Oryza sativa Japonica Group: one gene and its partners. The protein of the gene in region 1 interacts with the protein of each later gene in a pairwise test. Links are inferred from orthologs where the notes say so. Each region holds a gene or a part of one and is shown in the gene's direction. Other genes may lie near its edges. The genes, in order: transcription factor PCF5, GRF1-interacting factor 1 and protein LATERAL ORGAN BOUNDARIES.

Evidence for each region.
Region 2: the proteins of transcription factor PCF5 (region 1) and GRF1-interacting factor 1 interact in binary tests that used the Arabidopsis thaliana proteins (3 or more experiments, as listed by UniProt). The link is inferred for Oryza sativa Japonica Group from reciprocal best matches to the Arabidopsis thaliana genes TCP4 and AN3.
Region 3: the proteins of transcription factor PCF5 (region 1) and protein LATERAL ORGAN BOUNDARIES interact in binary tests that used the Arabidopsis thaliana proteins (3 or more experiments, as listed by UniProt). The link is inferred for Oryza sativa Japonica Group from reciprocal best matches to the Arabidopsis thaliana genes TCP4 and LOB.

The regions. Positions count from the first base shown.
Region 1 is NC_089035.1:6,231,374-6,235,125, reverse strand, and holds the start of transcription factor PCF5, read left to right. Parts: upstream 1-944; 5' UTR 945-1,278; intron 1,279-1,285; exon of another isoform or gene 1,286-1,385; 5' UTR 1,386-1,719; coding exon 1,720-3,096; 3' UTR 3,097-3,198; intron 3,199-3,312; 3' UTR 3,313-3,752. UniProt on the Arabidopsis thaliana protein: Transcription factor playing a pivotal role in the control of morphogenesis of shoot organs by negatively regulating the expression of boundary-specific genes such as CUC genes, probably through the induction of miRNA (e.g. miR164).
Region 2 is NC_089037.1:30,928,810-30,932,561, reverse strand, and holds the start of GRF1-interacting factor 1, read left to right. Parts: upstream 1-1,415; 5' UTR 1,416-1,650; coding exon 1,651-1,740; intron 1,741-3,257; coding exon 3,258-3,334; intron 3,335-3,752. UniProt on the Arabidopsis thaliana protein: Transcription coactivator that plays a role in the regulation of cell expansion in leaf and cotyledons tissues.
Region 3 is NC_089035.1:3,563,967-3,567,655, reverse strand, and holds the start of protein LATERAL ORGAN BOUNDARIES, read left to right. Parts: upstream 1-877; 5' UTR 878-1,080; intron 1,081-1,164; 5' UTR 1,165-1,366; intron 1,367-3,689. UniProt on the Arabidopsis thaliana protein: Not known; ectopic expression of LOB leads to alterations in the size and shape of leaves and floral organs and causes male and female sterility.

The DNA.
Region 1 (3,752 bases):
TTGGTTCAAAATGTTACTACCTTTTTCTATAAATTTGGTCAAACTTAAAACAGTTTGACTTTGACTAAAGTTAAAACGTCTTATAACCTGAAACGGAGGAAGTACAAGTTTACACTATCCTGTATGTAGATGTGCCAATGAGGGGTGTTTCCTTCTATCTTTTTTGAACAAATCTATGGGCACCATCTCGGTCCCTCGACCCGTTATGTTTTTGGCATCAAATGAACTAAAAATAGCTTGATCTTATTTCCATGCAATGGATCAAACTTGGGGCAAGTTTGGACAATGACGCCACATAAAACCCTCTTTTAGCAAGGTGGGGCTACAAATAAAACACACCATCAATCTATAAACAAGTATCTCAGGGGAAAGGTCTCACATTTGAAACTAATATTGCAACTCTCGACTTTCCAAAAAGGAAAATCATTAACCATTGGCATATACCCTTGAAAAAGCTCCAGTTGCCATCTTACTTGCCTATGCAACTGCCCAACTACAAGAATTATAGTACAAGCACTCTCTAAGAATACCACAAGTTAGCTTCTGAAGAGCATAGATATTCATGTCATGACAAACATGTCTACTGTACAACAAAAAAGAAAAATCGGCTAAGTAGATCACTCCACAATTGTGCGAGTAGATACTAGCGGTTACATATACACGAACGTATATATAAACATAGTTAAAATTGCTATATATTACCATAAAGCTATCGAGATGCGCTTAATTCCTTATCCATGGAGACTAGGGTGTGTGCCTCCGGTTTTTATTTTTTTTCCCAAAGGCACGTACACGTGTGTGTGTTCGAGTTTCATCGCGATTCGATCGTTGTCTACTGTTTTTTAATAATACAACAGATGTCCTAATCATCCACGCATGCATAACCCACAATCCCCCAGCATCATCCATCCCTTCCCAATTCCCAAATCACCACCTCTCTTCATCACTTGGGCTCCAGCCTCCTGCAGCCCCAGCCAAGCTAAGGTAAGCTCCATCTGCTTCTGATACACACACTCACACACAAAGCAGCAGCCAGCATCAGCAGCAGCAGTGTGAAGCAAAAATCTCTATCTCTCTCTCTCCTCACTAAAGCACAAATCCTACTCTTATCATCCTGTCTTCTTGCCTCCCTTCTGCCTCCTGCTCACCAAGCTTCCCACACAAACCCAACAAGAGAGTGAGAGAGGAGCAAAAGCTTTGGCTGGCCGTCCCCCCTGTTAAAATGTGATGTCCAATCCATGGGATTGCGTCTAGTTTAGTCCCCCACTCCTCTCCTGGGTCAGTCCCTCCCTGGCCACCACCTCTTCTTCTTGCAGCCTCCTCCTCCTCCGGGGCCTTCTTCTTGTTGATTCTTTTGATGGTTTTTGTGTTTCTTGTCGACCTAGTTATGGGATCCGGCGAGGTGGATGGACGCGCATTGGAGCAGCAACAGTAGCGGCGGGGAAGAAGGCGGCGGGGGATCTGGATCCGAGGCACCACCACCACCGGGTCACCCACGGCGGCGACGGCGGCGGCGTAGGAGGAGGAGGAAGCGGGGGACAGGAGGAGGCAGATGAGCAGCAGCAGCAGCAGCACGACCACCACCGGCTTCTCCAGCTCCACCACCACCAGGGTGTGCAGCAGGACCAAGAACCGCCGCCTGTTCCCGTCTTCCACCTCCAGCCGGCGTCCGTGAGGCAGCTGTCGGGCTCCTCCGCCGAGTATGCCCTTCTCTCGCCCATGGGCGACGCCGGCGGCCACTCCCACCACCACCAACACGGCTTCCAGCCTCAGCTCCTCTCCTTCGGTGGCGTCGGCCACCACCACCACCTGCATCAGTTCACGGCGCAGCCACAGCCCCCCGCCGCGTCCCACACTCGGGGTCGTGGAGGTGGAGGTGAGATTGTCCCCGCGACGACAACTCCACGGTCGAGGGGCGGAGGCGGCGGCGGCGGCGGGGAGATCGTGGCGGTGCAGGGCGGGCACATTGTGCGGTCGACAGGGCGGAAGGACCGGCACAGCAAGGTCTGCACGGCGCGCGGGCCGCGCGACCGCCGCGTGCGGCTGTCGGCGCACACCGCCATCCAGTTCTACGACGTGCAGGACCGGCTGGGCTACGACCGCCCGAGCAAGGCGGTGGACTGGCTCATCAAGAACGCCAAGGACGCCATCGACAAGCTCGACGTGCTGCCGGCGTGGCAGCCCACTGCCGGCGGCGCAGGCGCGGGCAATGCCGCCGCGCCGCCGTCCTCCTCGACCCACCCCGACTCCGCCGAGAACTCCGACGACCAGGCGCAGGCCATCACCGTCGCGCACACCGCCTTCGACTTCGCCGGCGGGGGCAGCGGCGGGACCAGCTTCCTCCCGCCGTCGCTCGACTCGGACGCCATAGCCGACACGATCAAGTCCTTCTTCCCCATGGGTGGCACCGCAGGCGGGGAGGCATCGTCGTCCACCACGGCGGCGCAGTCGTCGGCCATGGGTTTCCAGAGCTACACGCCTGACCTCCTGTCCCGCACCGGCAGCCAGAGCCAGGAGCTCCGGCTGTCGCTGCAGTCCTTACCAGACCCCATGTTCCACCACCAGCAACATCGCCATGGCGGCGGCGGCGGCGGCGGCAATGGCACCACGCAGCAGGCGCTCTTCTCCGGCGCCGCCAATTACTCGTTCGGCGGCGGAGCCATGTGGGCCACCGAGCAGCAGGCGCAGAACCAGCGCATGCTGCCGTGGAACGTGCCCGACCCCGGCGGCGGCGGCGGCGCCGCCTACCTGTTCAACGTGTCGCAGCAAGCGGCGCATATGCAGGCGGCGGCTGCGGCGCTGGGTGGCCACCAGAGCCAGTTCTTCTTCCAGAGGGGACCCCTTCAGTCCAGTAACCAGCCCTCCGAGCGAGGATGGCCGGAGACCGTCGAAGCCGACAACCAGATGAGCCACCACCAAGGAGGGCTGAGCCCCTCCGTGTCGGCGGCCATCGGTTTTGCCGCTCCCGGCATCGGCTTCTCCGGCTTCCGCCTCCCCGCGAGGATACAGGGCGACGAGGAGCACAACGGCGGCGGCGGCGGCAATGGCGACAAGCCGCCGCCGCCGTCGTCTGTCTCCTCGGCTTCTCACCACTGACCGCAGCAGTGGCGAGCAGATGACTTCACCACCACCAATCCACCATGAGCAAACACCACACCATGTACCAGACTATCAGCTAGCTCCTCCACTTCCATCACGGTGAGAAAAAAAAACCGAGAATTCTCATGGCTAACCTGCATTAGTTCAGAATTTTTCTCGTGTTAGTTAGCTGATCAATCTTGTGCTGCTGGTTTTGGTGTTCTTGACATGCAGGAATTGTCGATTGCATTCGGGAGGAGCAAAGTTTGGAGGTAGCACAAGTGCACTACTACTGATGCTACTACATATCGGTTGGTTGGTTGGTTGGTTTTCCATCGATCTCTTCTGCTGCTGCGCATGTCATTGGTTTTTGTTTCAAGAATTCACTCGGAGCTTCTTAGAATTAGGCTTGTGAGAATGCAGCAACACGATGGCAAGCTTTAGCTTAGCTTAGCAAGCCTCTGTGTCTGTTGGCTGTTGCGTTGCGCTAGGTGTAGTTGATCGATGTAGGTTCGAGCTTGCTTTGCTTTGTTTTGATTTTTACTCTTTTGTTGCTGATGCATGGACATGCTTTTGCTTCCTCCTGTGGGTTCAGGAGCAGTTGCTACTAGACCGATGTTGTTCTCAAAACTGATAAGTGGGATGGTGATGGATTGGGAGAGGAGCCTATCTTT
Region 2 (3,752 bases), on another chromosome or scaffold:
GGTGTTTTTTTTTTTAAAAAAAGTTTCTATACGAAAGTTACTTAAAAAATCATATTATTGATCTATTTTTGAAAAAAACAAATATTTAATAATTCACGCACTAATGAACCGCTCCGTTTTCCGTGTATACTGTGTGGGTTGGTATCACGTACTTCCGAACACAGCCTAACACAGCTGCCATCCATGTCCTGGCTACTGAGCAAGAGTTGCCTCAGCCCTGTTGAAACTTGAAAGGCAACCATGCTCTCTTCAAAGCAATGAAAAAGTCTCATGGGGACATGGATGTAGCCGAGCTACAGGCAAAGCTTCGACATGGCGAGTCCGAGCTAAGCTACTCATCACTTCAAAGTAATGTGAATGCTTTAACAGTTTTGCTCCGTTTGAAAATGCAGTTGTCTCTATGAAATTAAGTCTAATGGTTAAATATAACTTTTAGGGGTGTTTTGCTTCTGCACCTTACCTTTTTTTTTCAGTGCCAAAATATTAGCCAATTTTGGCCCTACTACTTTTGCGGTAGGGTATAAGTTATATTGACCATGATTAGCTTATTAATGTAAAGTTAAAGTAATTGTTAATCCTTATCCTGGTCAAGTAACTGCAACAAGATAAAAATGAAATCGATGTGGCCCAATTTATACGATCTTAAAGAATGTAACTCCAGTTTATCTCTGGAGATTTTCTCTCTCAAAAAAAAGTTTATCTCTGGAGAGAGCCAGCGAGGAAAAAAATTGATGAATTGCAGGCAAGACTCTATAAGGAGGATCCATTTCGCGATAACTTTGGGTGTTTACCACCATCAACAACTCTGATTAGAATGGAATTAACGTTCTTCTTTTCTTTTTCCCAGTTGTATTTTGTATTTCCATGTGTCGTATGGAGGCTACATATATAGCACATCTGTACAAACAAGCCACGCCGTCTCCTGTTGGAATTCTTCTCTGTACTCGTGACCGACGAGTTCTTCGACACAGAATCTGCTGTTGTTTTAGTACTCCAAAAATCTATCCTGCCCACAAGCTCATCAGATCATGCAGTCCCTGAACTTGAAAATTGCCGTGTTGACAACCATTGTTAAACCCTGAACATGACATATCAACCCAGACATAAATACTCTTCGAGCGTGCAGCCATAATTTTGTTTTATTTTTTTTTGACAACCTGCCTATACGAATCAGGCTTTATTAATTTTATCTTTTTTCCCCTATGTGTGGTGGTGGTCCCAATTCTTTAATGTGCAGGTGTCCAAGTATAGAAAGTTACTGAGCTTTTATGGTAGGTGTGGTAAAAAGTTGCATGGTAAAAACGATCCACTAAATTAAACTTTGTCACCAAAACTGAAGAAAAAAAAACTGAAGAGAAAATCTCTGCAACTGGTTCACCCTCTTTTTAAAGAACTCCACTCCAAAACCAACGAGCAAAGCGAAAGGAGGAGACGGCCAACCAAAACCCTCCTCCTCTCATCATCGCCCAAAACCCCCCAAGAAACCAGAAAGAAACCTCTCCTGCTCCTCTCTCTCTCTTTTCACCGGCAGAGGGAGAGGAAGTGGAGAGACAGAGAGGAAGAAGCAGAGGGAAGAAAAGAAAAGGAAGGAGTTTGCTGCAGCTGTGAGGAGTAGAGGAGGGGGGAAGGGTATAAAGGTTTTTGATTGGAATGCAGCAGCAACACCTGATGCAGATGAACCAGGGCATGATGGGGGGATATGCTTCCCCTACCACCGTCACCACTGATCTCATTCAGCAGGTCATGATCCCCTCTCCCCAAAATCTCTCCCATTTTATCGTCTGTTTGTCTCTCTCTTGTTTTTCATTTCTTGCTTTTTGTTTTTGGTTCCGTGATCTCTCTTCTTTCCTTTCTTTTTTTTTCTCTTGAATCATTTGTATCAAACTCTTTTTTTCTTCGTTCTTGATTCGTTGGTTGGTCTGTGAGTATCTGAAAAAGAAGTTTTATCTTTTCTTGTGTTCCCCTTTTCTATTTCATTATGCGTTTATGCTCATGCTATCTTTCTTGTTTGCTCGTGGTTGTTGATCCTCTTTTGTATCCATTGAAACATCTGGCAAAAAAAAATCTGAAATGAACTAAAGTTTCCCTTCTTTTTTTTTTCTCTGTTCTTACATCTTGTTCATCTGATCTATTTCGCTTTCTCCGTTAATTCCCAACATGATTTGTCGAACAACACGTTTTTTCCATCATATTTAAAAAATAGTTCTAGGGCAGCCTTTTTTTTCTTTATTTTGTTTGGTCAAATAGAAAGGGCATGATCCTCTTATATTCATGATGTTGATTTATCTTCTCGTCCTCTAGTCTTCTCCCTGTATTCTCATGTCTTCAAACATGGTCCCTCACATCTGATTTCCTCTGCAGTTCAAACTGTTGCTGTCCATTTGGTCCTTTTTTTTTCTTTTCTTTTGCTCTTGCTGCTCACATAGTCACATGATGCGGTGATTTTTTACATATCCTTTATCCCCCTCTCCATCTAAATCCTATTTTTAGCTTGTTTTGGTTGGTGACTTGTGCCAATGGTCGTGTCTCCCCCACCACTCGTATTTGGCAACTAGTAAACATGCCAGACCTGTTCCCTGCATCTGCCATTGCAGACCACCAATAAATCTTGGCCCCCTTTCCATGTAAATGTATCATGTGCAATCGTCCAACAAAAGGGAGCAAGAAATGCTGTGAGATTTACATAAATATCTCCTTTCCATATCCGAAATCCAATTTGCAATCTTTGATTTAAAAAATATTTCTTTTTTCTTCAGAAGGACATACCATACAAGATCTGGTCCTTGTTCATGTTGGTGAGAAACTGGGAATGTAGGTTGGCTTGTGCTGTACTAGAATGCCACAGGTTGCAGTTTTGACTGTTAGACCCCTAAAAGATGTGAGCTTTATGGCTAAAGGCCGATATAACAACCAGGGGCCCGGTCTGCTTGGCCTATTCTTTGATAACCTGCTTGCATGCTATCGTGCCAGTTCATGATTGGTCCTCAGTTTGAGATGATAGGCTGGCAATCAGATCTTGTGTGGTTCTGCTCTAGAATCAGGACGCCAATCTCCAGTCTAGTACTTCATTGGTGCTAGGAGTATATTCATGCATATGTCATTGGTGATAAACTGATAGTACCAACCAAATCTTGTGCAATGAACTGCAATATATTCAAGGCATGCATGCAGTACTATCTTTTGTTAGTATTGATGATAAAGACTTTGAAATGTAATGACGTATTAACATGCAAAGATTCAACCTTGAAACTGTGCAGTATCTGGATGAGAACAAGCAGCTGATCCTGGCCATCCTTGACAACCAGAACAATGGGAAGGTGGAAGAGTGCGCTCGGTGAGTTTGATCTTGATCTCCCTGTTATCATGGAGTGCTGTGAAAACTCTGAAGTTGCTGTTCTTTCTGTAGCTTTTGCTCTATCAGAGATGTCTTGTTTGGTAATATAGTCTTTAGGCTTTGTTAACTGCAAAAGGAATGTCTAGCTTTTGTTCAGTCAGGGTTCAAGAAACTAGAATCTACTAGGAGTATTCTGGATAAATCAACTAATCAAGTAGTACAATGTTCTTTGGTGAAATATTCCATTAGGTGTTACAGGTGATTCCACAATGATGGTTGAATTAGTGTTAACTCATGGGCAGGTTAATACTATACCTAGCACCCTCCTGTTAAATAAATTATTAGTGAGTGGCTTGTACTAGAAAAGTACTGTTCCTTGTTCAGTGCACTATTTCTGTTGTGTGTATTGTCAATGTCA
Region 3 (3,689 bases), about 2.7 Mb from region 1:
ATTTTAGCCTTTCCTCACGATGCCTCATTCACAAACGGCACACCGAGGGTTATGCATGCATTAGCTCCCATGATTGAGTACCCCACCAAATGCTGTTATGAATTAGCTTCCATGATAGAACTGAAAAGGTTATTAGAAATATTGGAACTCTTCCTCAAAAGTGAATTTGGAATAAACAATGTCAAATCCAAGATGTGTAGAGCTAGCGAGGTGGATGTCACTTTTGCACGTAGCTAGGTAGCTTCCATGTAGCCCACAACTATTGTACGGACGAATGAAATAAAAAAAAATCAAACGGAATCAATATCTTGCATTGCCTTGTTCTATTGCTGTTCATATATCGCTTGCCCCTTCCACTCACTGAAGAGCCTTTGGCAGATTAGCGCAGTGTTAACTGTTAAACTTTATATGCTTTCATCTAGATTCTCCTATCTTAATGGATCTCTCCCTTTAGATATTGTGATCAGATATGCTGGCAAGTGTAGCCGCGCGGCTACCTACAAACATCTTTGCTGAGATGTTTCCATGAAAGAACCAATTAGATGTCTCAAGAAACATTTGCTTTGCTACCCTTTTTGAGTATGATATCTATGTTGATGTACTGGCTAACAGATTCTGCCAAGCAATCTAATTATCAAGGCCATGTCCTTTTACCATCTATTTGTGTTATCCCTTAAATATAACATGGCCAATCATAGCTCCTGGGCCCAAAGTGCAACCAATCACATGGTTCCAAGACCAATAGCTAGATCACTGAAAGGTGCAATAATTTATTATTGTGTGGCTATCGAGGGTTGGGGAATTAATTTATGTACTGTGTAATGGTGATCATGATCTAGCAGGATTTTTTAATCAGTGTAATGAATTGAGTTTGTAGGTAAATGTCTCGGATGTGACCTGGTTTCTTCTTCTAAAAGTGAAGAGGAACAGGGAATGGAGCTCGTTTGCCACGGTATGAATTGTTCATTGGAAAAAAGGGAAAAAATTCAAGTGCTTACCGGCAATATGGACAACTGACAAATAAGAAGATCAACAGTTTGACTACAGCCTTAAGACACATAAAGATGTGGTGGGCTCAATGTAAGCAGGGGGTTGTTTCTTCTTTTTTTTTTCCCGCGAGTAATCAAGCAGTCCTGATATATGGGCCACTTAAACTTCTGATAGGTCACCCAAAATATCTGTTGAAGCAGATTATTGATTAGCTCTGGCTCACACTGGCCAGAATCCAGATGCAGCCAACTTAGGCTGTTCTATCGTCAAGATGGCATCAGATGATCATGTCATGGGATGATCAGCTATTCCCAACCAAACCAAAGCATCTCCACAACTGTGTTTCGACAATCAACGTGCGGCCCTGCAGGCGCAGGTCAGTGATGCTATATTTGACAACTATTATCTGCATGATTCATCACCACACTGGCAAAATCACTCTCTGTATATATGATATCTTGTGATGGAGAGGAATTTTGAAGGAAAGGAAGCAGCATGGTGAACAATGCCCATAGAATAGAGCTAGAGAGAGGTAGCCCCATGGCCTGTCCAGACGACAGACAGGATTCTCTATCGACAAGTACGGTTCCATGCACGCCCGTGCACAACCCCCTCCACCCTTGCACCCCCACCCACCCCACTGCGTGCCTCTTGTGACCAGAATTCAAAGGGACTGTGCCCTCCCACAGTGCAGGGGTAACCTTGCATCTGTACTACCTGGACCCATCAGCCCAATATATTTCCCCCACAACCATAGGTAGATATATCTTCTTTCACATATGCATACTAGGACTGTTCACTCCCATTGTTCTTTGCCTCACCACCTCAACCTCTCAAAGGTATTGGACATGGCCCACGTACCTAAGCTACTCACACCCCGGCCCCCATGGACCACCATGAACTACTCTAGAGCTTTTCAAACTCAGGCTACCAAATGTTTCGGCTGTTGCTGAAATCATTTTTAAACTTCGAGCAGTTTGGATTATGTTTAGATCTCATCCTAAAATTTTTCACCTTGTCACATTTAACGTTTGAACATCTGCATGAAGTATTAAATATAGGCTAAGAAATAACTAATTGTACAGATTGCGACTAATTTGCGAGATAAATCTTTTAAGCCTAATTGCTATATGATTTGACAATGTGGTGTTACAGTAAATATTTGCTAATGACATTAATTAGGCTTAATAAATTCGTCTTGTGGTTTACTGACGGATTCTGTAATTAGTTTTTTTATTAGTGCCCGAACACCCCATGCGACACTCTATATAATATCTGATGTGACACGCTAAAACTTTTACACCCCTGGATCTAAACACTACCTGTATATACTGAATGAGAATGACTGAAATCTCCTGCTCTAATTTGGTTTTCTCAAAAAGAAAAGTTCATATGCATATAGTGGAGCCTCATAGAGAGCTAAACATGCATGCCTATGATCTTTGGGCGGCTACCAACTGTAGTACTAACTGCTAGTTCCACTGAAAGATTTGTGATTTATTTGGTGACGATTGCGAGTTTTAGCACTTGGATGCAAGTTGCAAGGGGGTGAAGCTCAAAAGGACAGTCATGCTAGGTCGTGAACTTGGGAAAAGGCTGCTCCCATAGTCCCATGCATGCATCCAGACACAAAATGTAGGGACTAGCTAGCCCTAGCTAGCTTAGCTCAGTATGGCTCTTCGGCCCCCTCCCTTAGGTCCAACGATTTGATGGGCTGTGGATTTCAGGATCGAATTAATGTTGGTGTACTAGGAAAGTGGCTTGCACACGAGATCGTGTTCTTTGGGGGGATCTTAGGAAGATCTTATTATGGTTTCTTACGGTGCATCTTATTCATCAAATCATATGATAACATGACATCCGGTATATATGTAGTGCATGCAAGGTGAGATGGTATCAAAAATCTTGTGTGATAACACGCCATAATCAATTCAGCCTTCTTTTTTCTTTTCATTCCTTGCATTTATGTGTCATGCGGCGCCATTTACATGTGGAGACGAAGGTAGCTGAAGCAGTGAAGCTACATGCCTACATGAATAGTAGAGCTATATATCCTAATGGTGGAGGCTGCTTCTCTTAGGGGTTGCTGTTACGGTAAGACAGCTTAGTGATGTGAATCTCTATATATAGAGAAATACTTGTCTGTTGTTGCCTTCTCGGAGACTGTGATCTTTCTTTCTTGAGAAACTTTTATATGCTTGCTGTTGACTACTCAAATTGACCTGACTTTTCTTTTGCGCGTACATATGTTGAATTGACCAAACTATATAGTTGTAGGGTGCTGTACTGCTGCAAACACTGTTGGTACACAGTATGCTTGATTACTGCTTTAGCTAGTAGTATGTGTGTGTATATATAGTTTCAATTATTAAACATGTCCAGAAGTTAACTATAGATATACTCCTACTGGAGTACGCCATATTATTCACAGTAGTTCTTTTTTGTTCTTCCTCACTTTTTTGGGAAGAGTATGGACGCATTACAATATGAGAACTGTCAATTGTTCTCTGTGATATTGTTGGCCAGACTGGGTTATGTGTACTTTTAGCAACTTTTTGGCTTTTAGAGCTTTGCGGCAAGTAGTACTAATTACATGTTGCGATGGTATGTAGATCATGATGATGCTAATTGTGCATAAGCTTCATCTACGCACCTATAAATGACAAAATCTAAGCCAAAGATATAGCATGCTTCACCAG